Mus musculus: one gene and its partners. The protein of the gene in region 1 purifies or fractionates together with the protein of each later gene. This does not show direct contact. Links are inferred from orthologs where the notes say so. Each region holds a gene or a part of one and is shown in the gene's direction. Other genes may lie near its edges. The genes, in order: Btrc, Nfkbib, Nudc, Elavl1, Tfap4, Smad4 and Nuak1.

Region 1 (4,446 bases):
TCTTGGAACTTCCTATGTAGACCTTGTGAACCTCGAACTCACCAGCTGCCCCCTTATCTCCACAAGCCAAGTGCACCTACGTATACACAAAATAAATAAAAAAGTAAAAAAAAAAAACCAACAAAACAAACAAACAAACAAACCCAGAAAACACCAACCAACCAACCAGAAAAAGAAAGAACAACAGAAACCTAACCAAAATTTGTTGTATTATTCCTAAGTACCATTCTCTCTTGGCCAATGATGTTCTCCTAATTAAAGATCTACTCCAGGTGAGGCACAGTAGTGGCTGTGGGTCATCATGTGGGTGCTGGAAATTGAACCCAGGTTCATTGCAAGAGTAGCAACTGCTCTTAACCACTGAGCCCATATACCCCAGCTTTTTATGTGGGTGCTAGAAACTTGAACTCAGGTCCTTGTCCTTTCATGGGAAGCACTCTTATCTACTGAGCCATCTCCCCAGCCCCATCTTGTCCCTCTCTTTTCTTTTGTATTTTTCAAGACAGGGTTTCTCAGTGTAGACTTTGCTGTCCTGGAACTTGCTCTGTAGACAAGACTAGCCTCAAACTCACTACATCAACCTGCCTCTGCCTTTGCCTCCTAAGTGTTGGGACTAAAAGCATGTGCCACCACACCTGGCCCATTTCTGGCTTTTTTTTTTTTTTTTTGGTTTTTTGAGACAGGGTTTCTCTGTATAGCCCTGGCTGTCCTGGAACTTACTCTGTAGACCAGGCTGGCCTTGAACTCAGAAATCCTCCTGTCTCTGCCTCCCGAGTGCTGGGATTAGAGGCGTGCGCCACCATGCCCGGCTCCCATTTCTGGCTTTTTATGGCCAAAGACACTACTTATAGATTTCACTTGCTTGATAGTCATTGAATTTCATTTATGTAACACAGGACTTTGATCTCAGGGTTAGCAATGGTAGTTCATACTTTCTGAGCGCTAAACTCAAGGTTTCCTGGAGTGAGTTCTATCTGTCCCTGGCTTGCTTGGGGAGAGAAAAGGCTCTTCTGAAAAAAAAGAGGCAATAATAGCTTAGGATGTTATCGGAATCTTGCATTGATGTTGAGGCTGCTGTTACATGCACACTTGGCTCAAGTCTCTAGGTCTCAATCTTTCTGCAGATGCCAGATGTATGAACTTTAGGAGGGTCTGGTTTTCTAAAATCACAATTAGGGAGAACCAAGGACCCTGAGTTCTCTATTTTCCTAGTATTTGGAATACAGAGGAAGCGCTAGTCGCCATCTTGCTATCAAATGCCAGGCAAGGAGCCACTGGCGTCGTTTGGTAACCACGGTGACACTCCGGCTTTGCCTTCTTAGAGACTGGAAACTACAATTCCCATCAGCCGACTTCCCCTCCGGGCTCTCGAGTGCTCTACATTTGGCTTGCACACAGCCGCGACTCTACGCAGTGACCCGTGGGAGTTGCTGTTCGCCGCGTAGCCTTGCCTTTTGCCGCTGGAGCCTCCAGAACTACAAGTCCCGTGAGGCAGCGGAGTGCGCACGCGCAGAGCCGCGGTCCTCCTCGGGCCCCCTGCCAGTGCCAGGAGGTAAAAAGAGAGGGCGGGGGAAGGAAGAGGAGGCGGGATCCGGACGCTGCGTTGGCTGCGGCCTGGCACGAAAGGGGCGGCCCCGGCGGAGAGCAGACCCAGTAGTCCGGGCGATTATGGACCCGGCAGAGGCGGTGCTGCAGGAGAAAGCGCTTAAGTTTATGGTGAGGAGATGGGTGCGGGCAGGGGACTAGTGGAGGCGGCTGCGTTGGCGTGTCGCTGAGCTTAGGCCAGGGTCACCCGCTCACCGCAGGAGGGGGCAGTGGGACTGGGGGCCAAGGCCAGTGGCGAGGCGGAGGGAGGGACTGGACCTGAGCTTGGGGGAGGGTGCAGGAGGGTACAGAGGGGACCCTGGGGTGGGGGCAGCAGCTCCGCCATCTTGTGGAAGAGAGGCCAAGTGACAGCGGGAGCTCATTCGAGGTGGGGGCTCCTGGCGGCGCGCGGGGCCCCAGAGGGAAAGGGGCGTGGGGACAGTTACTGAAGAGCGGAGGAACCCGGGTGGAGAGACGCCTGTGGACGCTGGCAGGGGCCTTCCCGGTGTCAGGGTTACGGGTAAGGCCTGGGAGAGGAGGTGCACTCAGGAGTGGGGAATAGTGGAGATAGGATAATGGCAAGACAGACACTGGGGGCAGGGGGAAACTGGGCAGGGCTGGAAACTGATGGCTGTAACGGCGAAAGTGGGAAAACCATGGCTGGGAGGCAAGTATTTTTGTAGGATGGGCTGAGAAGATAGCCTTTGCCTAAGGGCTAAGGGTGGAATCCCAGTTAGCTCTACTAATGTTGGCAAACTCTGGAAGAGGCCTCATTTAAGAAGATAAGGACTCAGACCTAGGGCTATGGTGACAGTTCCTGGGAGAGAAAGACAGTGTTGATTGTGAGCTAGAATTACAAATATCAGAAAGGAGATACGTGCTCTGTTTTGAAGGAGAGGGTCAAAATTATTTGTGGTAAGGACAAAGCGATGAAAGAAATGTAGTTACAGGTGAGTGGGGACAAGGTTAATAACCAATAAGAGAAATCAAAACAAAACTTGGGCCTTCAGTGGTGAGGTAGTAAAAAGTGGGGGAAGCCAGGTGCTGTATTGCTTTCTGTGAGAAGAAAGTCCTTGGAGAAATGAGATGTGAGGAAATTTCAGAGGAAGGATGTAGGGAGTAGAGAAAGTGAGATAAGTCGGGATTGGTGGTTGCCCGTGAGTTTTAGGTTGTAGTACAGAGTGAGTATTGCATTTTTAGGGTCTGTGTCAACCCCTTAGGCCCTGTTTCTGTAACTTTGTATGGTGGTTCTCCTTTGCTGTGCTTGTCTTTGGCAACCTTGACCAGTCTGATATTTGATGCTTTTAATCTGATGCTTTCTTGTATAGCCTAGGTGTAAACCAGCCTCTAGTTACATCTAAAGAAGGATGGATGCATAGATTTTTTTTTTAAGCTTAACAGGTGGTCTTAGGGATAATGCATTATTTTCAATCAAGTCTTGTGGTTTTTTGTTTATTTGTTTGTTTGTTTTTGTTTTTTTTCAGAAGTAATTGTAACCCATCTTTCAAATAGCATTCCTTGGTTGAATAGTTTTTTTGTGCCTTTGCCTAAAATGCCATAACAAATTTGATAAACATAGATACTAACTTAGTTGAAATTAGGTTTTAAATTGTCCCATTCATATTTATAGAAGCTGGTCAAATTTAACTTTTTATTTTGGGGACTGGAGAGGCTGCTCAGCAGTTAAGACCATTGCTGCTCTTCTAGAGGATGAAGGCTTGATTCCCAGCACCCACATGGCTACTCACAGTGGTTTAACTCCAGTCCACCCTCTTCTGGACTCCCCCCCCACCCCCCCACCATGTACACAGGTGAACAGGTGATGCACAGACATACATGCAGACAAAACATCCATACACGTAAAATAAATAAATAAATAAATAAATAAATAAATAAAGTGTATTAAAAAGATAAAATTTTAGCTGGGCTGTGGTGGCTTGGGAACAACACTTGGGAAGCAGAGGCAAGACTGATTTCTGAGTTCAAGGCCAGCCTTGTCTAGAGTACCAGCTCCAGGTAGTATGAGCTCTGGGACAGCAGAACTACATAGAGAACTTCTGTCTCTAAAAGCCAAACAACAAAAACATTACTTTGTATCCGTACCTTCAGAAACACAAGTTTGTCATTCACAAAATTCTATTGAGCCAAAAGACATTTCTTGAATTTCTGTCCTGTGTTGACCTTCTAAAATATTGAGACCCCAGGTCTGGAATTGTGGCTTGTACCTTATTCTCCAGTACTTAAGAAGTGGAGTCAGGCTGGGGAAGGTGGCCTACATCTGGACTGGTAGGTGGATCTCAGTTTGAGTCTAGCTTGGTCTACATAGTGAGTTCTAGGATAGCTAAAGGCACATAGTAAGAACCTGTCTGAAAAACACAAAAAAGAAAAGGAAGAGGAGGAGAGGAGGAGGAAGAGAACAAGCAGGAGGATGGTGAGGAAGAGGCAGGAGTATTGGCCAGGTGAAAGCCAGCTTGGGCTACATACGGAATTATACCCTGTGTCAACAGACCATAAACAAACAAAAAAACCAAACAAGCTAGCTAGGTGTGGTGGTGAATGTCTGTAATCCTAGCACTGGGCGGAAGGGTCAGGAGTTAAGTCTGCCAGGGCTACTTGAGACCCTGTTTACAAACAAGCAAATGAGCAGAGACCTTGAAATCTTGGGGGAGAGGATGGGAGTAAGTCAGTACTGCTTTTATGCCCTCAGCCAGCTTCCAGTTGTAAGTCAGAAAAGTGCTCAGTTTTGTTTTCCGGTTTCGAGGGTTGGCTCTGAAGAGGAACCTGCCATTTAATTAGATTTATGGAATAATGAGACTTAGCAATCATAAAGAGACATTGTGAGATCACCCCGTACTGCTGCCT
Region 2 (4,678 bases), on another chromosome or scaffold:
GACCACGCCAGCAACCCAACTACTGAAACATCTACTATCCCTTCGTGCTCTCAGGCCTGTACCCTGCATGGAACACCACCTCCGATCTCATTTAAGAAAATCCCTTATCACTTCACTTATACGACACTGTGACTATATCTTGGTCTTGTTCCTAGATCAGCTTGTGGGTTCCACCAGGGGAGAGTTTGGCTAGAATCTTCTATAATCTCTGACCCACAGAGTTTGCCCGGTACTCCAGGGGTATGCTCTCTCCCTTCCTCCCTCCTTTTTTGAGACTGGGTCTCACCATATGGCCCAAGCTGCCTCTCCTTTCTCCATCCTCCTACCTCACTTCCCCCCTCCCCTGCCCCCCCCCATGTGCTGGCATTACAGGGGGCTGGCACCACACCCAGCTTCGATACTTTTATAACGTGCCCTATAGGGTCCTTTCCCCCACCTCATAGGATCTGAGTTTGCGGATTGAACTGGAAAACCGTCTCTTTCAGGTCCAGCACAAATGAGGTTCAGAAGGGGCTGAGGATGGGATGGGCAACAGTAGGAAACGAGGACGATATGGAAGGGAACCAGGGGTTGAGGCTATACATTTTCCTTGACAGTCCCAAGAAGCCACCATTCTCCCAGGAGATTGTACTAATCCCCAGATGGGCTTGGGGATCAGGGCCATAAGCCAAGGGCCCTTGGGTAAAAGCCTTCCCTTGCCACCTCCCCCCAGTGCGGCACGTGGAACCAAGTCTCTCCTTCCCTCCACCCCTTCCCCATCTCACCTGAGCCTCCTGCACCTTCCCTGCCTGGGTCTCCAGAGGGTCAGAGGCTGGGGAGGAGGGGAGCAGACGTGGTTACAGTGCGGGGAAAGAGTTAAGCAGAAGGGCTCACAATGGTGGAGGACAAGAGGACCCACCAACCTAATTATTTCAGAGTCAGGGATGGTAGTAAAACTATCGGAGATGGGAAAAGGCATATTTTAGAGTGGAGGTATGTGTGACGTGAAAAGGCTGAGGAGGGGAATCTTTAGGAGGAGAAAGCAGGCGAGACTGGACTGAAGGAAGGTTTCAGAGTTAAGCAGGATATGGTAGCATGTGCGAGTCGAGAGAATGAGGGAGGGCTAAGTTTTTCAAGAGACGTAAGTAGGGATACTTCTGCTGAGAGTTGAGTGTGGGAGAGGAGATGCAGTGAAGGTAGGAGGTTTAGGAGAGGCACAAGAACTGAAGGAATGAGATAGTAAGGGGCCACAGGGGTCCCCGGAACCCATCCTACAGTTGCCCTTAACAACAGACAACCTTAGCAACCGGGATAGTGGTAACTTTGGTCCTTAGCAACGAGGGTCCTCAGCAGCCAAAGTACGAGAAATGCGATCATTAAGAACTTGACAATCGGACCCTTACATTTCACAATCCAGAAACCAACCAACCTAGTAATACGGACCACTTAGCAACACCCCTCCGAATCCCACTCCCTTCAGGTAGATCCTGTCTCCCGCCCCACCGAGCCTACCCTCGGGCCCCGGGGCCTGCAGCCCAAAGCCAGGCCCCGGCGCGGCCCGACCCTCCCACCCTCCCAACAGGGCCCCTAACTCACGGTCCGGCTCGGCCATGGGAACGGGGTGGGGGCCCTCGGGACTGTCACCGACTGCTCTGTCCCGTGACGGCAGCGGAAACAAGAAGAGGCCGAGATAGGATAGAGAACTACAACTCCCGGCAGGCAATGCGATCCCCATAACCGCTTTCGTACAATGTGCCTCTCATGTTATCAAACTACAAATCCCAAAAAGCCTGGCGCCGGCGGCCATATTGATAAAGGGCGTCTGGAAAATGTGGGGAAACTCAGCGAGCGAATGTCCACCTCATTTTTCTGATTGGCTGTGGTGCAGTACAGGGGCGGGGTGTAGCTATTTAAAACATTTTGATTGGGTATATGAGGGGGCGTGTTGGGGAATTCCCGATAGGGCGGAAGCACTGGAGCTCATCGCAGAGCCCAGCGACAGGCAGGCGACCACAGGGGGCCACCCGAGGTGGCTGGGGCCATGGCCGGGGTCGCGTGCTTGGGGAAAACTGCGGATGCCGATGAATGGTGCGACAGCGGCCTGGGCTCTCTAGGTCCCGACGCAGCGGCTCCCGGAGGACCAGGTCTGGGCGCAGAGCTTGGCCCAGAGCTGTCGTGGGCGCCCTTAGTCTTTGGCTACGTCACTGAGGATGGGGACACGTGAGTAAACCTTAAATTACTAGACTGAGCCCTGGGATCTTACCTGAGTCCCCTTTAGCCTACGATTCCTGTGACTTCGTATCGTCTCGTTCCTAACTCTTGATTTCCGATGCTGGACTTCCTGGCCCTTAACCCCCAAACACTAAATTGTGAGACTGGTACGCTTTCACACAGTCAAGTGTCTCACCTTTTTTGAACTCTATAAATTTGAGCTCCTGATCCCCAAATCGGATCTGAACCTTTCCGACCACTCTAGTTCCCACATCTTCTTACCTCTTACTTCCAGATGTAGTCTTTGGTCTTTGGCTATTCTTGTATAAGCCAGATTTTGATTTCAAAACTAGTTCTTGGCCCTGAGTCTCTGAAGCTGACACGTCCAGTATTGACCCTGCAGTTAAGAAATTGAGCTGGTGGGTGTCATGGCTCTCACAGCACTTGGAAGGCAAAGGCAGGTGGATCTCTGTGAATTTGAGGCCACCTGATTGAGTTCCCTGCCAGCCAGAGCTACATAAGATGTAGAAACTCTATTCTATGAGGCTAGATTCATCTGTTAGCCAAATGCTTCTCCCAAACTACCACCTTCCAATCCCTGGTTTTAGTTTAGCTGAGTGTGATGGTACACACTTGTCATTCTGGCACTCGAGGGGCTGAGGCAGGAGGATCACTAGTCCGAGGACAGCCTGGAAGGACCCAGTATCAAAAAGGAGGGAAGAGGAAAAGGAGGAGAGGGTGACTGAAAAAAGGTTAAAGAGTAGGAAATGTTGATTAGTAGATAAGCTGGGGAGAAGGGATGGTTGTGGTGACGGCGTGCATTAAGGGATTGTACCCGGGATTTTCTTGTCCTTTGTGCTTATTGCGTATGCCCAGTGACTCAGTGCCTGACCCATGAGGGGAACCCAACAAACACTCATCTTAAAGAGCCAGGAGTAGTTGCCTTAGTTTTCACTTTCTACTTTGTTGGTTCCTGTTCCTTTATTATTTCCCTCTGGTTACTTTGGGTCTGGTTTTTGTGCTTTCTTTATCCTCCCCCTTCCTTTCTCGATTGTTTGTGTTTGACGGTCTCATGTAGCCCAGGCTAGCCTTGAGGTTACTTTGTAGCTGAGGATAGCTTTGAACATTTCATTCTCCTGCTTTCAGCTCCCAAGTGGGTATCACTACATCCCGCCTGGGGAGTGTGTGTGTGTGTGTGTGTGTGTGGACTAGAGGGCAACCTTGGGCTGCACTGAGCACGTAGGCTAGACTAGCTGGCCTGAGAGCCTCAGCGGTCATCTCTTGCTCTCTACCCTCCTCTTCCTCTTTGAGACAGGGTGGCTGGCCTGGAACTCACTATGTAAACCAAGCTGGCCTCAAACTCATCCACCTGCCTCTGCCTCCGGAGTGCTGGGATCAAAGGCGCGCACCACTGTGCTCCATTCCAGGGTTCTCCTCCCTAGTGTTGGGACTATAAATACTTACAATCACACCCAGCTTTTTCTTATGTGGGTTCTAAACTAAGGTCACTGTGCTTTACTTAGCAAAACATTTCCCAGCCTCCAACCCCACCCCCCTTTTAAGTCAGTGTCTCACTATGTAGCCCAGGCTAGCCTTGAACACTACTGTAAAAAAAAATGAATCCTTTTTTTTTTTTCTTCCGGCCACTTAATTCCCAACAATAAGGACTCTGGCATTAACTATTTATTAATAAATGCCTTGGCTACAAGCTTTGGCCCATTCCATAGCTAACACATAACTTATTTAACCCATTTAAATCATTCTATGTTTTCCTTCAGTCTCGGGCCTGCTTCTTCCTTAGCATCGTCTTTCTCGGTGTCTCTCTCAGTGACTCCTCCAGTGTCTCTCCCTGTGTCTCCTTTTATTCTCTCACTATTTCCCAGAATCCTTTCTTTTCCTGCCAGTGTCCCACCTCCTATTTCCTGCTTCAGCTCATTGGCCGTTTGCTTTTTTATTGACAGGTGTTGCCTATAAGAGATTCTGTCTACACATTATGAAATTTTTCTTTGGTTTATTTTATTTATTTTTGGTTTTTTGAGATTGGGTTTCTCTGTGTAGCCTTGGCTGTCCTGGAATTCTCTATGTAGAGCAGACTGACGTTGAACTCAGAGATATGTCTGCCCCTGCTTCCCAAATAATTTTACTTTATGTGTATAAATGTTGGATCCCCTGGAACTGGAGTTAGGGATGGCTATGAGCCACAATGTAGGTGCTGAAAATCAAACCGGGGTCTTCTGCAAGAGCAACAAGTGTTTTTTGTTTTTTTGAGACAGGGTTTTTCTGTATGGCCCTGGCTGTCCTGGAACTCACTTTGTAGACCAGGCTGGCCTCGAACTCAGAAATCCGCCTGCCTCTGCCTCCCAAGTGCTGGGATTAAAGGCGTGCGCCACCACTGCCCGGCAGCAACAAGTGTTCTTAACTGCTAAGCCATTGCTCCTACCCTACCCTACTCTTGGTCTTCCTGCCTGGAATTCCGGGCAAGGTGGTG
Region 3 (4,699 bases), on another chromosome or scaffold:
GGTTGTTGCTGTCAATCCTATTCAGGAAGAGAAAACTGAGGGAAAAGATACCTGAAGAGTGAGAGAAGGCTAGGACTAGGATTACTATAGCCCAGAGTCTGAAAGCAAGCCATTTGCTCAGAGAAGTCCAGGCCTTCTGTATTAGGGTTTCTCTTCTCTTCTCTTCTCTTCTCTTCTCTTCTCTTCTCTTCTCTTCTCTTCTCTTCTCTTCTCTTCTCTTCTCTTCTCTTCTCTTCTCTTCTCTTCTCTTCTCTTCTCTTCTCTTCTCTTCTCTTCTCTTCTCTTCTCTTCTCTTCTCTTCTCTTCTCTTCTCTCTCTTCTCTTCTCTTCTCTTCTTTTTTCTTTTCTTTTCTTTTTCTTCTCCTCCTCCTTCTTTTCTTTTTTCTTTTCTTTTTTTTTGAGACAGGGTTTCTCTGTATAGCCCTGGCTGTCCTGGAACTCACTCTGTAGACCAGGCTGGCCTCGAACTCAGAAATCCACCTGTCTCTGCCTCCCAAGTGCTGGGATTAAAGGCACCTGCCACCACTGCCTGGCTTGTACTAGGGTTTCTTTTGCTGTGATGAAATACTATGACCAAAAACAGATTGGGGAGAAAAAGGTTTATTTGGCTTACATTTCCACATATTAGTCCATCTTTGAAGAAAGTAAGAATAGAAACTCAAACAGGGTAGGAACCTGGAGGCAGGAGCTGATGCAGAGATCATAGAAGGTGTTGCTTCCTTATAGAACTCAAGACCACTAGCCCACAGATAGCCCCACCCACTGTGGGCTGACCTTCTCCATCAATCACTAATTAAGAAAACACCCTACAGGTTTGCCTACAGAAGGATCTTAAGGATGCATTTTCTCAATTGTGGCACCCTCCTCTCTGCTGACTCTAATGTCAAGTTGATATAAAATTAATCAGCACAGCTTCTAACATGGAGATGACCCAGACCAGCTCTCAGAGACCTCAATCTGATAGAAGGAACCTGCTCTTTGGGAGTGACGTTCAACCCTTAAGAGTTCCTATTCCAAGGTGTGAGATAGCCAGGCTCTCTGGAAAAGTTAATGTAATAATCTTGTAACAGTATAGCACTCTCAGGTTTACAAAGTAATAAATAAATGTACGCGCCGGCGGTGGGGAATCTTCAGGCTATACAAGCCTGCATGCAATCTCAGTGCTTGGAAGTGAAGGCAGGCAGGCCAGGAACACAAGTTTGTCTTTGCCTTGGATACACGGGGCATGTCTCAACAAAACAAAACAAGCCATCACCTCTGCCGTCAACAGCAACGACAAAACAAACAAACAAAAAAACAGAAAAACTAAGGATTTTCAGACAGTAATGAAAGAGCATTAATCCTAGTGCAAACAGTTTGTAAAACTGTTCTACTCAAACTACAGTTTTGTGCTCTTTTCTTAAACGTCTAGTAGGTTGACCCTTTGGTGAGTGCTTTCTTCCTGAGTCTTAACTGCGGCTTGTAGGAGGAGAAGGCTAACAGTATCACTTGATCAAAACTTCCAGCCCTATTAAGATGTGAGCTCAGAGCTTTCTAGAAAGCTCCCAGGTATCTGGTGACCATAGCAACTCAAGCCAAACTCTGCGGCAGCGAGCCCCGCCCACTGCCTTGGGACCGCGACTGTTGATTTGCTCCTCGGCTTAGCCAATGGCCAGAGAAGCGGGTTGTGTTCCGGGAGCTCAATGGGCACCGATGGGCGGGGAGGCGGGAAGAAAGCCGGGAAGGGCGAACCCGCACGGCCGGGCGGCTCCTGCGTGTTTCCGGCTCCGCTGCGGAAGGCTAGCGAGGGGAGCCGTTGGGCCCGCGCGAACCGTGGGGAGCGCGGGCATCGCAGAACGCGAGTGCGGAGCTCGGGGCGCAGCACGATGGGAGGGGAGCAGGAGGAGGAGCGCTTCGACGGCATGCTGCTGGCCATGGCGCAGCAGCACGAGGGCGGCGTGCAGGAGGTAAACGACGTGGCCCGCGCCGCAGCCCTTCTCCGCGGTCGGCCGAGACCTCCCCCACCCCGGCCGCGCGGGTCCCCGGGTCCCCGCGTCCCAGCTTCCGGTCTGCCCAGCCCGCGAGTGAAGTCTCGCTCCAACGCCGTCAGCGCCCTGCACTTAGCCCCCAAGAGCAGTTTTCGTTGTCCCAGAGTGACCCCAGAGCTTCCGCACCCACTCTGCGCTCCACGGGTGTTTCTGCTTTCATTTTAATGGTTACTGTGTAGAGCATCCCTAATGGTGGTTACTCTTTAGAGCATCTCTGGGCCGACTCTTCTCGATATGATCTGCATCTTACCCAAAGTGGAGCCTGCCTATCAATACTGTGTAGGGTAGTGAGAGCCCGGGGGGGCGGTTAGCACGTGGTCTCTTTATACTTGAAAGTATACTGACTGAGGAAGTGAGCCGGAGACCTGTAGGTTAAGCTCCCTCCTGGTTTATCCTCAGTTACCTCGTCTGTGAGGTGAAGCTTAGGAATATCAGTTCCTGTTGTTTTTTTTTCTTGAGTCAGGGTCTTGCTCTATATCCCTGGCTTACGCAGAACTTGCTATATAGACCAAGTGACTTCCAAATCAGGGTTATTCTTCCTCTGTCTTCAGAGTGCGGGAACTTGGATATGGGCCACCCTGCCTAGCACCTAAGTACTTGTCATTGTCGTGTACCAGACACATAATAAGACTGGGTCCTGGGGATGCAGACACGGAAGAGACTAGGCTTTGCATTTGGGGAATTTGTTGAGGGTTTCTTGCTTTAAAAAATTATTTGGAGCCGGGTGTTGCTTTAATCCCAGCACTCAGGAGCCAGAGGCAGGTGGATCTTTGAATTTGAGGCCAGCCTAGTCTACAGAATGGGTTCTAGTACAGCTTGGGCTACACGGAGAAGCCTTGTCTCAGAAAAAAAACAAAACCAAAGAAATTTATTATTATTATTATTATTATTATTATTATTAGTAGTAGTAGTAGTGTTTGTGACAGGACAGTTTTAAGGGGCCAGTTTATTCCTGCCACCAGTATCTGGGTTTTTAGGGTTGAGTTGCTAGGATTTTGAGGCAGTCAATTTTACCCAGTGATTCATCTTGCTGGTCAGGATAAGATGGTGCGTGACTGGAGTCCTAGCACTGGGGAGGAAGAGGCAGGAAAATTGCTACAAGTTAGAGGTTAGCCTGGTCTGTATAGCAACTTCTAAGCCAATCAGGGATATATAGTAAGACCCACAAATATAATAACCCCCAAATAACCCATAGGTGATGTTAAATGGCCAGACCTAGTTCACACAGTGGGTGTGTAGCAGATGAGCTGGTAGAGGTAGAAAACCCAGATATTACATTCTGTAAGCACCTGAGGGTCAGAGAGTGACAAGTTTACCCAAAGCCAGGCCCCCAAGTCCCCGAGGAGACGGGCTCCTGCCACCCGTCACTGGGGATGGCTTTCCATTCTGTCTTGGTCAGAGTGACCACTGCTGTGATGAAGCAGGAAGAGCAGCTTGATGAGAGGAAAGGCTTTATCTTACTCACAGGTTCACAGAACAGCTCATCATCAAAAGTAGTGGGGGGCCAGAGCTGGAGGCAGGAGCGGATGCAAAGGCCATAGAGGGGCATTGCTTACTGGCTTGCTCCGCCTTTCTAGAACCCAGGACCATCAGCCCAGGGATGGTACCGCCCCCAATAGGCTGGGTTCCATCCATCTCTCCTTAAGAAGCTGCTCTAGAGGCTTGCCCGCAGCCTGATCCAATGGAGGCAGTTTCTTAATTGGAGTTCCCTCCTCTCTGATGACTTTAACTTGTGTCAAGGCACATAAAACTGGTTGCCACACCTTCGAAGTCTTTTTCTCTAGGTGCCTGTGTTAACTGAGGGCTTCTAAACCCTTGAAGCGGGGGAGTCTTGTCTAATCTGCAAATGTGAACCTTGTCTGCGTGTTCCTAAACTGACACAATGTGAAAGTGTTTGGGAGTGAATCCACTTTGTTTCTGTGAACTCAAAGTGTCTAGAGGTAGGGATGGCTGTCTCAGATTCAGAACCTCTCGCTGGGGCTGGGGCAAGTGAGAGTCGTCGTGCTAACTGGGGGCCTGCGCCAGCTTGGGCTTCTCCCCAGGAGTCGACTGAGCATGGGCCTGTCATAAAACACTTGAGCCAAGACACTCTTTCAGTGCTCCCTGCTTGCTGTGGATGTGACGTGACCATCTCCCTAAGCTTTGCTTTTTTTTTTTTTGTTGTTTTTCGAGACTTGGTTTTTTTGTATAGCCCTGGCTGTCCTGGAACTCACTCTGTAGACCAGGCTGGCCTCGAACTCAGAAATCCGCCTCCTCTGCCTCCTGAGTGCTGGGATTAAAGGCGTGTGCCACCACCGCCCGGCTCCCTACGCTTTTGCTCCTTGTCTTTCCCACTGTGATGGGCCAAGCCTGAAACTATAGGTCAAAATAAACCCTTTCCCCTCTTAAGTTGCTTTTCACAGGTCTTGTGGTTTTGGTTGTTGGTTGTATTTTTTGCTTGCTTGTTTTTTTTTTTAATCCCAGCACTCAGGAGGCAGAGGCAGGTGGATTTCTGAGTTCGAGGCCAGCCTGGTCTGCAAAGTGAGTTCCAGGACAGCCCAGAATATACAGAGAAACCCTGTCTCGAAAAACCAAAAAAACAAAAACAAAAAACAAAAAACTAAACCAGCATTTCTGTGGGAAACAAGACAAGTCCCACTGCATAGCTGAGGCTGACTGTAAACCTGTGATCC
Region 4 (3,928 bases), on another chromosome or scaffold:
CTAGCTTAGTTGAGTCCTCTAGCCTTGTTCTCTCTCCTGAGTTTATAGGCTTCAGTAGCTTGACCTGGCCCTTGCGAGATGGTTTTAGCCAGCTCAGAGGTAGGGATAAGGAATTTTTGTGCTCTGTAGTAACGTTGTGCAGCATAGTATACAGTTACTACAGGGCTTTGACCCCTCAGGGAGAAGTATCACAATGAATAGCTAGAGCAGTAGGGGTGTGGCTTTAATTCCAGCACTCAGGAGGTAGAGGCAGATCTCCGAGTTCAATGCCAGCGTGGTCCAGAGAGATAGAGTTATATAACAGCTAGAGCTAGGCAGAGAAAGAAACCTTATTTCAAAAAAAAAAGAAGAAAAAGGAAAGAAAGAGAAGGGACTAAATTTGGGGGGAAGCTCCCTCTTTCCCCAACATGGATTCATGTATACACATGCTCACACACAAAATGTGATGAGTTTCCTTCAAGGAGAGGGACCATGAGACTCCTTCAGAGTGCTTTCACCTGCACTGAAGCATGTGGAAGAAACTTCCAGAATTTAAAATGTGAGCTTGTGGTTCAGTACCAATCCTCAGTTTCTTTCCCAGCCTCACAATTTGGGAAGTAGACAAGGTCTGAGGGAAGGTGGGACAAGAGGATAATAAAGGTGAAAATTACCAAAGTATATGCATTATGAAGATGTTAAAATAAACATTATTCTCTTACACAGCTAATATATGTCAGTTTCTTTAAATTAGTTGACCCCATGGTATCCCAGCCTTGAGCATCTCCAGCTCAGAGGTGCTGGCTGCATGAGAGGCCCAAGTGTCCTTACATCTTGGCCCTCTCCATCCTACTTCTTACCCCATTGTGCAGGTACACTGCTGGCCTTAACCTTGACCTGAACATGTGCTCTCTGTTTGCTAGGTTCTCCCCTATGGGTGTAGATCACATGAGTGGGATTTCTGGTGTCAATGTCCCCGGCAATGCTTCCTCGGGCTGGTGCATCTTCATCTACAACCTTGGGCAAGACGCCGATGAGGGGATCCTCTGGCAGATGTTTGGCCCCTTTGGTGCAGTTACCAATGTGAAAGTGATTCGTGATTTCAACACCAACAAGTGCAAAGGGTTTGGTTTTGTGACCATGACAAACTATGAAGAAGCTGCAATGGCCATAGCAAGTCTGAACGGCTACCGCCTGGGGGACAAAATTTTACAGGTTTCCTTCAAAACCAACAAGTCCCACAAATAACTCGCTCATGCTTTTTTTTTCTTTCCTTCTTTTTTTTTTCCTTTTCTTTTTTCTTTTTTTGTACGGAATAGATAATTAAGAGTGAAGAAGTTGAAACTTTTTTGTTAGTGTACAACTCATTTTGCGCCAATTTTCACAAGTGTTTGTCTTAGTCTAAATGAGAAGTGCAAAGGTTTTTATACTCTGGGATGCAACCGACATGTTCAAATGCTTGAAATCCCACAAATGTTAGACCAATTTTAAGTTTCTTAAGTTATTTCCTTTAAAGTATATATTAAAGTGAAACCGAAGTAGACTGCGCTGACTAACCAGTCACTCTGGACGGTGGTGGGACTGAAGCATGCTTTTACTTCTAAGACTGTCTAACACCTGTTTCATCTGATGTCTCCACAGACTGGATTTAAAACAAAACAAAAAAAATTTTTTTTTAATTTCTTTGTTTTAGTTTTTAACCTAAAGATGTTAGACAGATGGGGAGTGTGTTTTTTCTCAACTGCTTCACTATTTTAAACAATTTCTGCTTTAGGTGACAGGAAATTTGCCCTCCCCAGCAGTCCCACTGCTGCCCCCTGCCCACTCAGTCCCAGCTCTATAGTGTTGGGAGCAGCAGCAGGGCCCATATTCTGGGGCTCCCACAAGGGGAGATGGGAAGAGGTTCCACATGTTGGGCTGAGCCAGGCCCTCCAGAGACACAAAAGGTGTTTTGTAAGCCCAGGCACCAATGAGAACGGACCAAAGAGTTTCAGGGCAGCTCCAGTATATTCCAGAGTCAAACCTGAGCTCCAGGCATGCCTGAAGATGCCCCACTCCTCTGACATCCTGAGCGTCTGTCCACACATTGCATGCATGGTGCCCACACATCAGATACTGTTGTTCATGCAACTTCCCGAGTTTCCAAGACCATTTAACCTAGCTTGAATGCACAACGATTGCTCTGTTTTTAATGACACAGAAACATTTGAGCATTGTATTTTCTCGCATCCCTTCTTGTGAGCACTAGACTTTTTCCAATCTTAGTCAGATTTTGCTTTGAAATTTTGCTTTTGTATGGACACTCAGCAGAAAAGTACTTCTTGCCAGTTATCTATTAACAAAATCCTTTGATTTGTAGTTTTAAGGATTAACCCTCAAAGTTCTCTTCATAACTGCCTTGACGTTTGGGGTTCTGTTCTGTTAATTTTCTTTTGCTTTTTTGTGTTTTTTGTTTGTTTTTACTTTTGCATTTAAGACCATTAAATTTGATTTTGTTTTGCTCGAGTTTTGTTTTGTTTTTTGTTTTACCTTTTCTTTCTTTTTTGGCTAGGGAAGGGCACAGACAGCCCAGCATTCAGGGAGGAGTCTGTCAGACCTTAAACACTTGCCTCAAGTTTAAAAAACATTTCTGGAGCTATGGTATAAGAAATACAGCTATGGATCAATGGTTCTTAACTCAGGAGCTGGTAGGAAAGGTCAAAGGGAAGGGAAGAGCACATGAGGCCTGACCCCTACAGCCCTCAGGACTGTTCTGATGTTTATTAGTATGTGGAGAGAATGAGAACAGGCTAGTGCAGTTACTGGCAGCTCTTCACTTTGATGTAAGCCTGGAGTGTATAACAGCAGGCTAGTATTTAGTTCTTGATATCATGGTATGATAGCATTATTTACACATATCTGTTTAGTTATATATACATATATATATACATATAGCTATTTTGTTTCATTTACTTAAGTGGAAAACTGAGCAAAAAGCACAGCCATCTCTAAAGTAGGTCAGTGTATCAAGAAGCCCATGTACAAATTGAGGCTGCCTGTTCCCTCCCCCGCCTCCTTTTCCTGACTTCCCTGGAGGCTCGTTGCAGTGTTCTCTACCATTGGTGAGGTTGTCTCATGTACTCAGGCTTTGTCCCACCCTAAGTGAGTCAAGTGCTGCTCAGTACCTCATTCCATCCCATAATTCCCAGCCTATAGGGCCTGAAACCCAGAACCAAAGGCTCATATGCCCAGATCTGACCAAAAAAGGAGAGGGGTCCTCTGCTTTGAGGGTGCAGAGTGCACCTCCCCGTGGGACCAAAATGTTGTGATAAAATACGCATTTCTAGTTTCTTAGCCAGCATTCTTCTGAGTGGAGGTGGGATTCTCCTCAGTCGTGTAGCCTTTGTATTCCACACCTGAAAGAGACTGTGTCTTTAAAGGACCTGGTGCTCAGAGCTAGCACCTTAATCACTATACCATCCCTACCACCCAACACCTGTTTACTCCATAGTAACTCTGAGAGGAACTGGGGGAAATGTCACCAGCTTCTGGAGGTCACTTCAAGTTCGACATTTTCTTTCTGTGTGGTCTCCACTGTCTGGGTAGCACTCTAGATAAAAGTCCCAGTGCATTCCTTGATGAGCTTTCTTTGTCAGTGTCTAGAAGAAAGTAGCTTTGAAAAGGCATTCCTGAAAGCAGTTTTCATTCTATGAAAGGACTAGGTCCTGGCCCTGGACGCGTTCATGACAGCTAGTCAGGCTGGGCAGAAATACAGAACCCAGACGTGTGTGTAGCTCAGAGATTAAAGCACTTGCCCAGCATGAGGGCAGCCCTGAGCTCTGTCCCCAGCATTGGAGGAAAAGTCACAACCCAAGAGAAAGGGGTTTTTTTTGTTTTGTTTTTTAAGGAGAAATTCATCCTGTTTTTATTGAGCAAGTTAAGGCCATTTCTTTTGTTGGGAAATCTGATGGAA
Region 5 (3,208 bases), on another chromosome or scaffold:
GGCCAACAGTTCTTTATTAAAAACATAAAATACAACCTAGGGCTGGGTTGTTTAGTTCAGTTACAGAGAGCTTAGCATGTAAGTTCTGGGCTCAACTCCAGGTATACAGACACAACACACACATACACACACACACACACACACACACACACACAAATACAAATACAGCTGAAATAAGACTCCATAGGAGCTGTGGCACCAGGAAGGGTTTGACCTGGTTCCCCAGGTTGTTCTTCATGGCTTCTATAAGGAAACCAGCTAGTCAGTCAGAAGGGAAAGGGTTTTTTGTTTTTTTGTATTGGAAACAGTAGAGACAAAAGTTTAGAGGTGAGAAGGGGAGAGCCTTCCGTCTGCCCTGGAGGGGGCGCTCTCTGTCAGGGTTTTCGGTTTAGGATTGCCCTGTGGTGTTAGCGCCACTGGTGGAGCAGGTGTGGCCTTGCCCCACCTCTCAGCGCTGTGCTATCCCACCTGCAGGTGCGCTCCCTCGAGGCCCACATGTACCCGGAAAAACTCAAGGTGATTGCCCAGCAGGTGCAGCTGCAGCAGCAGCAGGAGCAGGTGCGGCTGCTGCACCAGGAGAAGCTAGAGCGGGAACAGCAGCACCTACGGACCCAGGTGAGCGGGGACTCCAGGAGGCAGGGGGGGCCCTCGAGGGCCGTCGCGGGGTTCTCAGAATCTGTAGGTGGGTCTCAGACTATGTAGGTACAAATAGCTGTGCAGGCATGCTGCGTTTTAGCTGTCTGAGAGCATTGGGACATAGGCCACAATCCTCACGGCAGTCCTTTGAAGCCTGAGCTGCTTACTGTTTTATTGCTGTGGAAAATAAGGTAGAGAAAGGTGAAGTAATTCTCTGGAGCAGGAATTTGAACCCTCTCTGCCTTAATCCAGGATCTATGCTCCCCTCCTCCTCCTCCTATTCATCTTCCTCTTCTTTTTTTTTTTTTCAACTTCCTCTTCTTCTTTCTTCTCTTCTTCTTTTTTGTTTTTCTTTTTGGTGGTGCTGACTGAGCCCAGGGCATGTCTGGCAAGCATTCTGCCACTGAGTACATCCCAGGCTCACACATTCTGCCACTGAGTACATCCCAGGCTCACACATTCTAACACTGAGTACATCCCAGGCTCACACATTCTAACACTGAGTACATCCCAGGCTCATACTCTGCACTATTTTCTGTTTTTTGTTTTGTTTTGTTTTTTTTGTTTTTGTTATTGTTGTTTGTTTGTTTTTTGTTTTTGAGTCAGATCTCACTATTTAGACCAGTCTACTACCCTTGAACTCACAGAGCTCTGTCAGCTGCCTCCAGAGTGCTGGGGTTAACGGTGTGTGCCACCATCATGCCCAGCCAGAGTCTCTACTCTTGAACAGTCATTTATCAGGTCTTAATGTGCTTCTTGAGCCACAAGCAAAAGGGCCAGAGGATTGGGGGGTGGGGGTGGTATGGAAGCCGCTCACTGCCCTTCCCTTCATTCCTAGTGTTGGAGGGGTTGGTGGGGTTGTGACTCGCTTGGTTCTTTCTACTTGTCAGCGTTTTATAAGTGTAACAAGCACCTGAAGCAGCCAGGTTATAAAGAGAGAAGGGGAATTTGGCTCAAATTTCAAAGACTTCAGATTGTGCATGATTGGTGAAGTGATAGATCATGGCAGGAACAAAATTACTCACTTCATGACTTAGAAACTAAAGAGAGAAAAAGACAAAAGCTGGGTTCTTACTGATCTCTTGGAAAATGTGCCAGCCCACTGACCTAAAGGACTTCTACCTGGCCCCATTATTATAATTACAATAATAATCATTATTATTGGTTTTCTTTTTTGAGTCAGGGTTTTTTTTTTGTTGTTGTTGTTTTTTGTATTTTCGAGACAGGGTTTCTCTGTGTAGCCCTGGCTGCCCTGGAACTCACTTTGTAGACCAGGCTGGCCTCGAACTCAGAAATCCAGCTGCCTCTGCCTCCCAAGTGCTGGGATTAAAGGCATGTGCCACCATGACCGGCTTTTTATAAATGTGTCTTTTTTTTTTTTGTATTTTTTTTGTCTTAAGAGAGGGCCTTGTGGGCTGGAAAGATGACTCAGCGGTTAAGAGCACTGACTACTCTTCCAGGGGTCCTGAGTTCAATTTTCAGCAACCACATGATGGCTCACGACCATCTGTAATAGGAATCCGATGCCCTTTTTTGGTGTGCCTGAAGACAGAGTGTGCTCACATTCATTAAATAAATAAATAAATAAATATATAAATAAATCTACTTTTTAAACAAAGGGTACACAGAGACATACAAGCAGCACACATACCCACGAGGGCCTTGCCATGTATCCCATGTGGGCCTTGAGCTTGTCTTCCTCCTGTCCAACCTTCTGACAGCCATGATGAGAGCTATGTACCACTAGCCTCAGCACAGGTTTCTGTCTTCTAATACTGCCATACTGGAGACCAAGCCTTTGTTACATGGACTTGGGGGTGGGCATTTAAGATCTAAGCCAGCAGATACCCTGTGAGTAAGGAAATTTGGTGGGCTAGAAACAGGACTTCTGTTTTGCAGCTCCTGCCTCCTCCAGCCCCCACCCACCACCCCACAGTGATCGTGCCTGCACCAGCCCCGCCTTCCTCCCACCACATCAATGTTGTCACCATGGGTCCCTCCTCAGTCATCAACTCTGTCTCTACATCCCGGCAAAATCTGGACACCATTGTGCAGGTGTGTGGGCTCGGGGAAGGGGCTTGTGGGAACTGACTCTTGAGGACATGTTCTTTCTTGGAGATCAGGAAGTAGGATGTGGATCAAGAGCAAGATGGAGCTCCTGTAGGAGGAGGAAAGATCTGGACGACTGGATAGGTCCTCTTCCTTGTGCCTGACTCCTTTCTTAACATGACTCTGTGTGTGTGCGCGCGCGTGCACGTGTGCATGTTTGCATGTGTTCCTGCCTGTCTATCTGAACTGCTTGCCGAACGAGTTCTCTACCATGTTGGACTGCAAGGGGTCAGAAGCTTATAAACTCAGGTTTATAAGGCCTGGTGGCAAGTGCCTTCACCCACTGAACCATGTTGCTGGTCCTGGGAAGTTTTGTTCTCAGAGCCTCCTGGTGATCAGTCTTAGTTCAGCCTGTGAGCTGGTCCTGAACTTTCTCTTACCTTCATGTGATATGTGCAAGGGTGTGTGCATGTTACCTTCATGTGATATGTGCAAGGGTGTGTGCATGTTACCTTCATGTGAT
Region 6 (4,556 bases), on another chromosome or scaffold:
ATGAGTTGATCTACAACCAGTTTTAATGATCTGCCAGCTGAAAGATCTTCCTTCAATCTTTAAAGTTGTATCCTTTGAGAGTGTCATACATGTATCTATACATTGTATATAGATCTTATCCACTCCAGGCTTTCTTACAACAGCTCCTGGACTCCCCCACTGGAATATCCTTTTCCTAACTTCATATCTCTCTCTCTCTCTCTTTTTATATATAACTCAATTTGTACTGCACCTATCAATTTTGATGACAATGAAGAATTGGATTTGTGAAGGAAATTCTACTATCGATTCATTTAAGTGATTTATTTTCTCATTGCAGACATCAACTTTTGAATTGTCCCTTTGGCTTACCCTGGGGGGGCAGTGTTACACATTGGTGTGTGTTGTAAAGTTTCTCCAACAGACTTAAGAAATGACTTGGTCTAACAGCTGTACTAGAAGGAACCCCGAGGGAAGGTGAAAAAGGAAACAAAAAGACAACATATAATTCATGTTTCCTAGACGTCTGAATAAATTTAAAGTTAGGGTCTGTCTATTTAGTCCTGGTTTGAAATTTGCCACGTAAATCCACCAGGCTGGAGCTCCTTCTGTCTCTGCTTCCCAAGGGCTAAGATTTACATGCATGGGCTGTGATTTAAAGCCAGGGACTATACGGCAGGCTTGTGTTCTAGCTACTAAGTACAATATTCATAAAATTATACAAGAAAGTAAGTACAAAGTCAAAATCAAAGACGGGCCTTTTGCCACCAAATGCACCACTTTTGTGGTGGGATGGACCCAGGGCTTTGTATATGGACAACAAATTTTGAACTGTCCCTTTACGTTGCCCTGAAAGTTTTAGATAGCGGACCACTTAAGTAATGAGAGGTAGTTTTGACTTGTTTTGTAAGGTGTGAAGTTCTGAAACTGAGCTTTCTTTACATCCCAGCCTGCACAACCTATTTAGCAGGTGTACACTTAAGCAAGTCTTGAAGGTCGCCTCCAACTCGAAATTCCCGCCTCTTTCCCAACTGCTCACGTTTGGCCACCTCGGGCTAGGCCCTGGAATGTGACTCCTTGACTGTCGCGCGCGCCTCCGAGCTCAACCTTTTGGAGCCGGTGTGATGAAAGGGACAGAGTGAGAGATCCGCTCGGAAGTAAACTGCTACAAACACCCGCACTCGGTCCAGCTGTGTCCACCAAGGTCTTCAAAAGCCAACCCAACCCGGCGGGCCTGCCCATCGCTCATCCCGAGCTGTCCCACGCTGCTTGGGTACTCTGTGAACCGCACTCCGTGTCTGAAGAGGGCATCCTGCGAAAAGGCGACTCCCCTCCGGCGCCGTTGCTCGCTCGCTGCTCAAACTCAGCCAGAGCCGCCGGGCTGCCCGCGGGCGCCTGCGCACTGGGACCCTCCCTGCTCTGGGCGGGAGGCGGGGGCAGCGGGGAGAAAGGAGCGCTGCGGGAGGGGAGCGGGGGAGGGAAGGGCCAAACCCTGAAATTACCCGGATGTGGTCTCCGCGCGCGCATGCTCAGTGTCCTTCCGACAAGTTGGCAGCAACAACACGGCCCTGGTCGTCGTCGCCGCTGCGGTAACGGAGCGGCTCGGGTGGCGGAGCCCGTGTTCGCGTCCGTCCGCCCGCCCGCCCGCCGTCCTCCGGAGGCCCTTCCCGCGCCGCGCTCCGCTCCGCGGCCGTCCCCGGGGCGGGAGCGCGTGACCGGAGCCGGCGCCCGCGAGCGAGGCCCCCCGCAGCGGGGCGGCTCCGGAGCTCCAGCGGCCCGGCCGGCCGGCGCGGTCCGCGGCGCGGCGGGGAGAGGGGGCCGCCTGGGCCGGACGCCGCGGGCGGGGCCCGGGAAGCGACAGCGAGGCGAGGCGCGGTGCGGCGCGGAGCCCAGGTAACGCGCGGTCCTCCCCTAACCGGGGCCTCGGCGCCCGCGCTTCCCCGCCCCGGGGCGGGCTCCCGCGGCGACCGGCGCGAGCGTGGGCCCAGCGGGGCTCGGGTGGGTCGCCCCCGCGCGTCCGGGGCTTCGCGTGCCCGCGCGTGGCTCCCGGGCCCCAACTCCTCTCGCAGTTAGGCGAGCCCGCCGTCCCGGGAACTCGGTCGCCGGTCCCCGTCCGTGCCGCCGCTCTTTGTTGTTCGGGAGGAGTTTGGCCGCGGCCCGGGCCGTCGCGTCGGCCCGGCCCGAGTGCGTTATGCCCGGGGTGCCCCGGGTCGGGTCCTCGTGCCTTCCCCACCTCCCCCACCCCCCAGCAAGTGTTTGTTTTCTCTTTGTCCCCACTTTCTCTTCCTGGTTGTGTGCTCTGAGTTTACGTTTGTAGCTTTGATTTGTTTACTTTTTGGGTATTGTGGGTGATGGCGGCGTGCGGGAGACACTCTTAGCGCCAAACTGAACCACCCTCCCCTAATAAAACGTGTCTCCTAATAAAAGGCGTAGTTTATTTTATTGTTAGGGCTACATGCACGGAGCGTGAAATTGGTGGAGGGTGGAGGGCGTTGGCTTCAGCACCCCAAACTGCTGTTATGATTTCTCAAGCCAGATTTTCAAAGACAAGGGCGTGTTTAGTTAACTTGAAAGGTTCCTTTGCCAGAGGTTTTAAAAAGCCCTGTTTATTGATAGCTCCTCCCCACTGCCCCACCCCACAAAACCTGGAGTAAACTTAATTTTTAAAGTTGGTTTTCAGGTAATTCATTTTAGAATTTATCAGTGCCTTCAGTTTCTGATAACTTAAGGTGGGATTGTCACTTACTTAGAAATAAAGTAACGAGATAAAGAGGGAGTTATTTTAAGTACCTTGAATTCGTGTTCTGCAGGCTTGTAATCTCGCTTAATTTTTTAACAATCGTTGAATTTTGCCAGATTTAGCATCCTTTTCCTCTCAGTAGTAGCTTGAGACTTTGAACGTTTTAAGAATCAGGTTCAGGACTTTCTGCTGACACAAACCGTGTGGAATCTTAACTGAATGTACAGAAATCTATTATAAATTCCACAAAGCAATTAGATTTCAAGCACCGCATTTGAATAGTTTTTGTTACAGATTTTACAGGTTTACCTTGCATTCAGGATATGAAGCGCTTGCAGTTGAAATGTATGTAGCATAGGCTATTCAGAGAAGTAAACTTCTCCCTACTGTAGACTCTATCTCTTGGATCTATCTGGTAGGATTAGTACGTGTTATTTCAGAGTGTAAATGATTGCTTTAATATTTCTTAAAATACAGTTTCTCCCTAATGCTTTGTTCAGTGTACTGTCATGAGTCTCTAGGGCTTCCTGCTCCTCTCTTCAACTCCTGACCATCCGTGTCTCTCAGCTTCTCCGGAGCTGGGATACAAAATTGCGACACGGTGCTCATAGGCTCAGGAGTGTGTTTTCTTCAGTGACCTGGTTACAAACATGCACCGAGGCAGACTAATACCCATAGCCTGAAGCAGCTTCTGATGTGATGAATTATGTAGGCTTCAATTGCCGGAATTAAAACAAATCCTTTCCAAAGAGAATTGACATAAAGGTTTTTAGTTTTTTGTCACTGTCTTAAGACAGGTGGCTTTTTTTTTTTTTTTTTTTTTTTTGCTTTCTAGGCTTTTGAGTGAGTATGCATTAAAGGGGTATTACATATTTTTGTTTTTGAAGATGTAGTTGACACTTTTGGACTAAATGCTTCCACTGTAAATCTTAAGTTGGGAAGAATTAAAATTGTGTTTACAGAATTAAGGAAAATTTGTGCTAAACAAGTCAGTGCAGTGATTTGGCGTGTGTTTTATATGGACCTGAACTTCCCTGATGGTTTTGCTCTTGAAATAGTTCTGATTATATGAGTTGTACAGATCTTGCTCTTTCTTTAAGGTCATTTTCATGTATGCTACATGTTAATTCAAGTGTTTCTGTTGGTGAGTTTTGTCTCTGGATTCTCTGCTTCACACACACGGGGGAGGGGCCGTATTAATGGTGGAATAGTAAAATACTTTATGCAGGATCCCCCCCCCCCCCCCCCCCCGTTAGAACCTGTTTTTTTATTTTTCTAACTGAGCCAGAGTTATAGTAACATTGGCACACACTATTCTAATTGAGCTGTGCATAGCTGGGGCCTGTACCAGGGCAGTTAACCCTGCAGAGTCTGCAGAGTTGGTTAAATCTAAAGTGCATATTTGGGCTTCTTTAAAATTTGATCTCTAGATGAGAGCACAATCCTTTTTTTTTTCTTTTTTGTTTTTGATGAAATATTACCTACTTCAGTTCTATTTTGTCCCCCATCTAGTTGATGCCTAGGTTTTTGTTTTTCTTTTCATTTTTGATTCACCCAGAATGAGTGTCTCTTTATAAGCATCTTGTAATAGCTTTCTCAGTGCTTCCTTGTGGTTGGATACCCCGGCCCTCCACTGTGCTGGGTTAAAGCCGTGAGGAGGACTGACTCAGGTGGTCCTCAGTCAGGTATACAGCTAACCCGACTAAAGGCTGTCATTGTTTCTGTGCTAAGTGGAAGCTGAAGTTAGAGCGGATGTCACATTTAGTACCGCTTTCTCAGATTACTTAGTTCTTTCCCCCATCTGCTGATTAAGATTCACTTAAGGTAGACATTCAGA
Region 7 (3,928 bases), on another chromosome or scaffold:
CCAAAACAACAACAACCTAGGATGTAAACTGCTTCCCGAGGGCATGTGTATCGCTCACGTTTGCAGCCTGTGCCGTATGTCCCAAGGCCACCCTCCTACTTCCTAGAGTTTAGAGTTAATGAAAAGTCCAATCCAGGATGAAATCCTGGTAGGAGCCCAGGAGGTTGGGTACAGAGAGGCCAGCAGACTCCCAAGAAGTCAGCCAGTTTTATCTGGCTGCCCCCTTTCCCTCCCTCTACCTTCCTACTGCCGCCTTGCCTTCCTCTTCATTTTATCAGAGAGAGTTGGCTGGACTGGCAGGAGCCAAAGAGGAACTGGTGGGGAGGGTGACCCTCTAGAGGCCAGAGACAAGGTGTGGGAGGGGAGGGAGCCCAGGCCGTAGGCAGGCAGATTCCAGTTCACCTCAGTTGCTCATTGAATGGGCGTGTTTGTCTCAGTGCCAGGCCTTGGGGGGGTCCAATAATATTAAGATAAACAATAACAACCAAGGTTCTGGAAGGCTGTGCGTTCAGGCTTCGTTCTGAGCATCTACCATCCTGTTATCCCTCCGGTCTCCCAACAGTCCTAAGAAATGCTTTCTAAGTTCATTCCCATTTTGCATTTGATGTAACAGAAACACAGAGAAGGCAAGCAACTTCCAGGAGTCACACAGCCAGCAAAGTCAGGATGTTAGTAGGTTTTAGCTCTCCCAGCTCAAGCTCCGCAACCAGGCGGAGGAAAATAGATATGTAACCAGGAAATAAGGTACGATGAGGCCAGGGTAGGCCAGGGATGTAAGGGGCTGATGACGGCATGTGATGTGCAGATAAGTCTGAACGAAGGCTCTGTTGATGAACGCCTGGCCAGGATAGGTAGGGGTGAGGCAGTGGGAGAGCAGGGAGGTGGAGGCAGTACCGTGTGTGTAAATGTGAGAAACGTGAATGACTGACAGCTCTTTCTGTATTGTTGGACATTGAAGTGGGCAGGAACGGTCAGACTTGATAAGGTAGAGGTTGGCAGAAGGAGGGGTCTAGGGTTCCCTCTGCATCTCTAGGAAGGATGTACTTCCAGACAGTTAAAGGCGTCTTACATGACAGCTGGTGGACTGTGGCTGAAGTGGACCGAGTAACTAGAATCTCTCTTCCTTGCCTTTTCTCCTCGCCCCCTGTGTTGCCCTTGGGTGTCTGTGTGGGACTGCAATTTAAACCTAACAGCTGGGGAACAGTTGGTGAGAGGGCCTTGACAAACATTATGGATAAAAGATACCCATGGTAGGTGGAGGTCGGCTGAGAAGGGACTGGACTGCAGGCAGGGGCACCCAGCTCCAGAGGGCTGCAGGGGTCCTGACTCCATTCCAGGTTTGGCTCTGGGGCTCCCTGGTCATGTCTGAAACCAGACTAAGTTGGTTCTGGTCAGCTGTTTAGGAGACTTCCTCCTTGTGTGGACCTCAACTGTACAAGATGGGTGTAGGGACAGAATGAAGCCACCATTGCCCCAAGCCCCCCTGATATTGAATGCACAGATTCTCAACCTGTTCCCTGAGCCCCATCCGGCTCAGTGGCATCTCCATGGTCTTCCTTGCTCTTTCTCTGCAGTTGGTTGTCATCGGGCTTTCTGGATAACAGTGTTTGTTTATTTCTCTTCCTGCCCCCCACAGTGTTTGAGAACAAAGATAAGATTGTGATCATCATGGAATATGCCAGCAAAGGAGAGCTGTATGATTACATCAGTGAGCGCAGGCGCCTCAGCGAGAGGGAGACCAGACACTTCTTCCGGCAGATTGTGTCTGCCGTGCATTACTGTCACAAGGTACGACCGGGCCTGCAACTTCGCGCGTAGACTCATTATAGCTTTAATATTATAAAAGCCTTGGTTAGTTCATTGTGACATGTGTGGAGATGTTACAGACTAGGATGAGAAAAAAAAATCTCCCTATTCAAATCCCATGCTTGTGTGTGTGTGTATGTGTGTGTGTGTGTGTGTGTATGTGTGTGTGTGTGTGTACACGTGAGGCCTAAGGTCATTGTCAGGTATCCCCCGTCACTTCCCACCTTGTCTTAGAGACAGGATCTCTCACTGAATCTGGAGCTTGCCAGTTCCACGGGGCTGGCTTGCCAGTGAGCCCTCAGGTGCTGCCTGTCTCTGTAGATCAGGGGTAGGGTGATGGACATGTGCACCCACAACCTTTGGTTGGCCTCTCTGTGGACACGAGAGACACTCATGATCAGACCACGCAGCCTTCTGTGACTCCGCCTTAAGTAATGCTGGAGAGCACCGCAGACTACTTCCGTTGTTTGAAGTGTGTGAATTTGTGGGTTGTGTATGAATGGGATGTTCTTAGGCTTGTTCCATCTTCTTATGTCAGTCAGGAATGTGACCATGTGAAACAAACGTCTCGCAGTATTTCATTTAAAGCCAAACAGAGTCGGCTTTCCTGTACTCCACATCTCTCCTCTGGGAGATGTGTTTTTTTTTTTTGGGGGGGGGCATTTCGGAATCTCCGGACACCTCCTGAGAGCTTGGATTAGCAAAAGCAGTAGTATGAATACTTGTCATCTCTCTCCAAGTTGGTGGCTGTGGAGACATTAGAAGCTGTCAAACGGAAAGGAAAACAAACTGAAAGAACCAGCTACAGGCATGTTTGATATAGCAGCTTTCTCCGCAGAAGCCATTTACACAGCGGGGAATGCTGGGAACCTACTCCCCCCACATCCACATCCAACATGGTCCCCAAGCACTCTTTCTGTCCACCCACCCCAGAACCTTCTCCGCAGCCCATTGGTGTCCTTTCCCTTCAGCTGGCTTGCTGCTTTCAAGTCCAGTCCCAAATTGGCCAGAGTTTGCCTGAATGAAAAGGTCACGCGACATAAGAGTTCCTAGTGGCTCTGGTCTCATTGGCCTGCACCCTTTTCATCAGCCCTGAGTCCTGCAGAGTGGAGAGGGACTTTCAAGTCTTTCCAGCTGGCTGCTTAGGGAGTATCTAAGACAAAGCTTTAGGAGACTGGGTCAGGCCTCTTTCCAGCATGAGGGATGCAGGCAGACAGGCAGGCAGGCAGGCAGGCAGGCTGTCCCTGGGGCCCTGTGCTCCAAGGCACCCACTGAGATGTCTGCTGTGTCCCTGGGACCCTGTCTCAGACACAGTGGAATTACATTCCCACAAAGAATCCCCCTGCTGGTTTACAGGCTCTGGGGGGGGAGAATGGATTCCAGTCATTTTTCTGTTAACCACACAGAAAGTGACTAATGCTCTCCTGTCGCTGGTTGCTGTCTGGGGAGCGTCCTGACAGTGAGAGCAGGCCTGAAGGATGGAGGTGAAGACCACCGGGACTGGCTGGTGCATTGCTTTCATCTGTCAGACTTGTTCCCTGTGCCCGGCCTCCGCTGCCCCCTCCCCAGAGCTCTCTTGTCTGTCATCTCACACGCTCCTGCTCTGGCTCCTGCTCCTGCTCCTGCTCAGTTCTTCCGTTTCCTCGTTGCAGAATGGTGTGGTCCACCGGGACTTGAAGCTGGAGAACATACTGCTTGATGACAACTGCAACATTAAGGTAAAACTCAGCCGGGGTGTGGGTATGGCGGGTGGGCGTGGCTCCTCATAGCCCGGATCTGACACAGCCGCTCCCTCTGCTGGTTGGTGGGCTCTGGGAAAGACTCTCATCAATAGGCTTATCCAAACAGTTTAATTTAGCAGGCATTACTGAGTCCCCTACAACCTGCCAGACTCTCTTCTCCCTGCTGGGACAATGACTGACACACAGTCCCTGTCCTCAGGAAGCTCACAATCTGGAATTCTTACCACAAAAGTAACACACATATTTCATAGGTGTTTTAGTTCCCATGTGCTTAATACTTTCATAAATGACTCTTTCAGGCAGCATGTGAAATGGGCACTGTTCATCTTATAACTCACATGTACATAGGGAAACTGAAGCACAGAAAAATCAGATAACAT

What was found.
Region 2: the proteins of Btrc (region 1) and Nfkbib purify together in Homo sapiens (affinity purification with western blotting; 4 studies listed by BioGRID and IntAct, with this or other methods). This does not show direct contact. The link is inferred for Mus musculus from reciprocal best matches to the Homo sapiens genes BTRC and NFKBIB.
Region 3: the proteins of Btrc (region 1) and Nudc purify together in Homo sapiens (affinity purification with mass spectrometry; 3 studies listed by BioGRID and IntAct, counting the BioPlex papers as one, with this or other methods). This does not show direct contact. The link is inferred for Mus musculus from reciprocal best matches to the Homo sapiens genes BTRC and NUDC.
Region 4: the proteins of Btrc (region 1) and Elavl1 purify together in Homo sapiens (affinity purification with western blotting; 4 studies listed by BioGRID, with this or other methods). This does not show direct contact. The link is inferred for Mus musculus from reciprocal best matches to the Homo sapiens genes BTRC and ELAVL1.
Region 5: the proteins of Btrc (region 1) and Tfap4 purify together in Homo sapiens (affinity purification with mass spectrometry; 4 studies listed by BioGRID and IntAct, counting the BioPlex papers as one, with this or other methods). This does not show direct contact. The link is inferred for Mus musculus from reciprocal best matches to the Homo sapiens genes BTRC and TFAP4.
Region 6: the proteins of Btrc (region 1) and Smad4 purify together in Homo sapiens (affinity purification with western blotting; 7 studies listed by BioGRID and IntAct, with this or other methods). This does not show direct contact. The link is inferred for Mus musculus from reciprocal best matches to the Homo sapiens genes BTRC and SMAD4.
Region 7: the proteins of Btrc (region 1) and Nuak1 purify together in Homo sapiens (affinity purification with mass spectrometry; 3 studies listed by BioGRID and IntAct, counting the BioPlex papers as one, with this or other methods). This does not show direct contact. The link is inferred for Mus musculus from reciprocal best matches to the Homo sapiens genes BTRC and NUAK1.

The regions. Positions count from the first base shown.
Region 1 is NC_000085.6:45,362,171-45,366,616, forward strand, and holds the start of Btrc (F-box/WD repeat-containing protein 1A), read left to right. Parts: upstream 1-1,563; 5' UTR 1,564-1,668; coding exon 1,669-1,716; intron 1,717-1,910; exon of another isoform or gene 1,911-2,104; intron 2,105-4,446. UniProt on the Homo sapiens protein: Substrate recognition component of a SCF (SKP1-CUL1-F-box protein) E3 ubiquitin-protein ligase complex which mediates the ubiquitination and subsequent proteasomal degradation of target proteins. Recognizes and binds to phosphorylated target proteins.
Region 2 is NC_000073.6:28,763,765-28,768,442, reverse strand, and holds the start of Nfkbib (NF-kappa-B inhibitor beta), read left to right. Parts: upstream 1-1,798; 5' UTR 1,799-2,020; coding exon 2,021-2,199; intron 2,200-4,678. Other genes in the region: Sirt2 (NAD-dependent protein deacetylase sirtuin-2), read right to left, coding at 765-811, 1,576-1,591. UniProt on the Homo sapiens protein: Inhibits NF-kappa-B by complexing with and trapping it in the cytoplasm.
Region 3 is NC_000070.6:133,543,052-133,547,750, reverse strand, and holds the start of Nudc (nuclear migration protein nudC), read left to right. Parts: upstream 1-1,723; 5' UTR 1,724-1,865; coding exon 1,866-1,946; intron 1,947-4,699. UniProt on the Homo sapiens protein: Plays a role in neurogenesis and neuronal migration. Necessary for correct formation of mitotic spindles and chromosome separation during mitosis. Necessary for cytokinesis and cell proliferation.
Region 4 is NC_000074.6:4,286,896-4,290,823, reverse strand, and holds part of Elavl1 (ELAV-like protein 1), read left to right. Parts: intron 1-899; coding exon 900-1,224; 3' UTR 1,225-3,928. UniProt on the Homo sapiens protein: RNA-binding protein that binds to the 3'-UTR region of mRNAs and increases their stability.
Region 5 is NC_000082.6:4,546,738-4,549,945, reverse strand, and holds part of Tfap4 (transcription factor AP-4), read left to right. Parts: intron 1-474; coding exon 475-615; intron 616-2,535; coding exon 2,536-2,691; intron 2,692-3,208.
Region 6 is NC_000084.6:73,700,746-73,705,301, reverse strand, and holds the start of Smad4 (mothers against decapentaplegic homolog 4), read left to right. Parts: upstream 1-1,510; 5' UTR 1,511-1,872; intron 1,873-4,556. UniProt on the Homo sapiens protein: In muscle physiology, plays a central role in the balance between atrophy and hypertrophy. When recruited by MSTN, promotes atrophy response via phosphorylated SMAD2/4.
Region 7 is NC_000076.6:84,391,852-84,395,779, reverse strand, and holds part of Nuak1 (NUAK family SNF1-like kinase 1), read left to right. Parts: intron 1-1,636; coding exon 1,637-1,788; intron 1,789-3,458; coding exon 3,459-3,524; intron 3,525-3,928. UniProt on the Homo sapiens protein: Serine/threonine-protein kinase involved in various processes such as cell adhesion, regulation of cell ploidy and senescence, cell proliferation and tumor progression. Phosphorylates ATM, CASP6, LATS1, PPP1R12A and p53/TP53.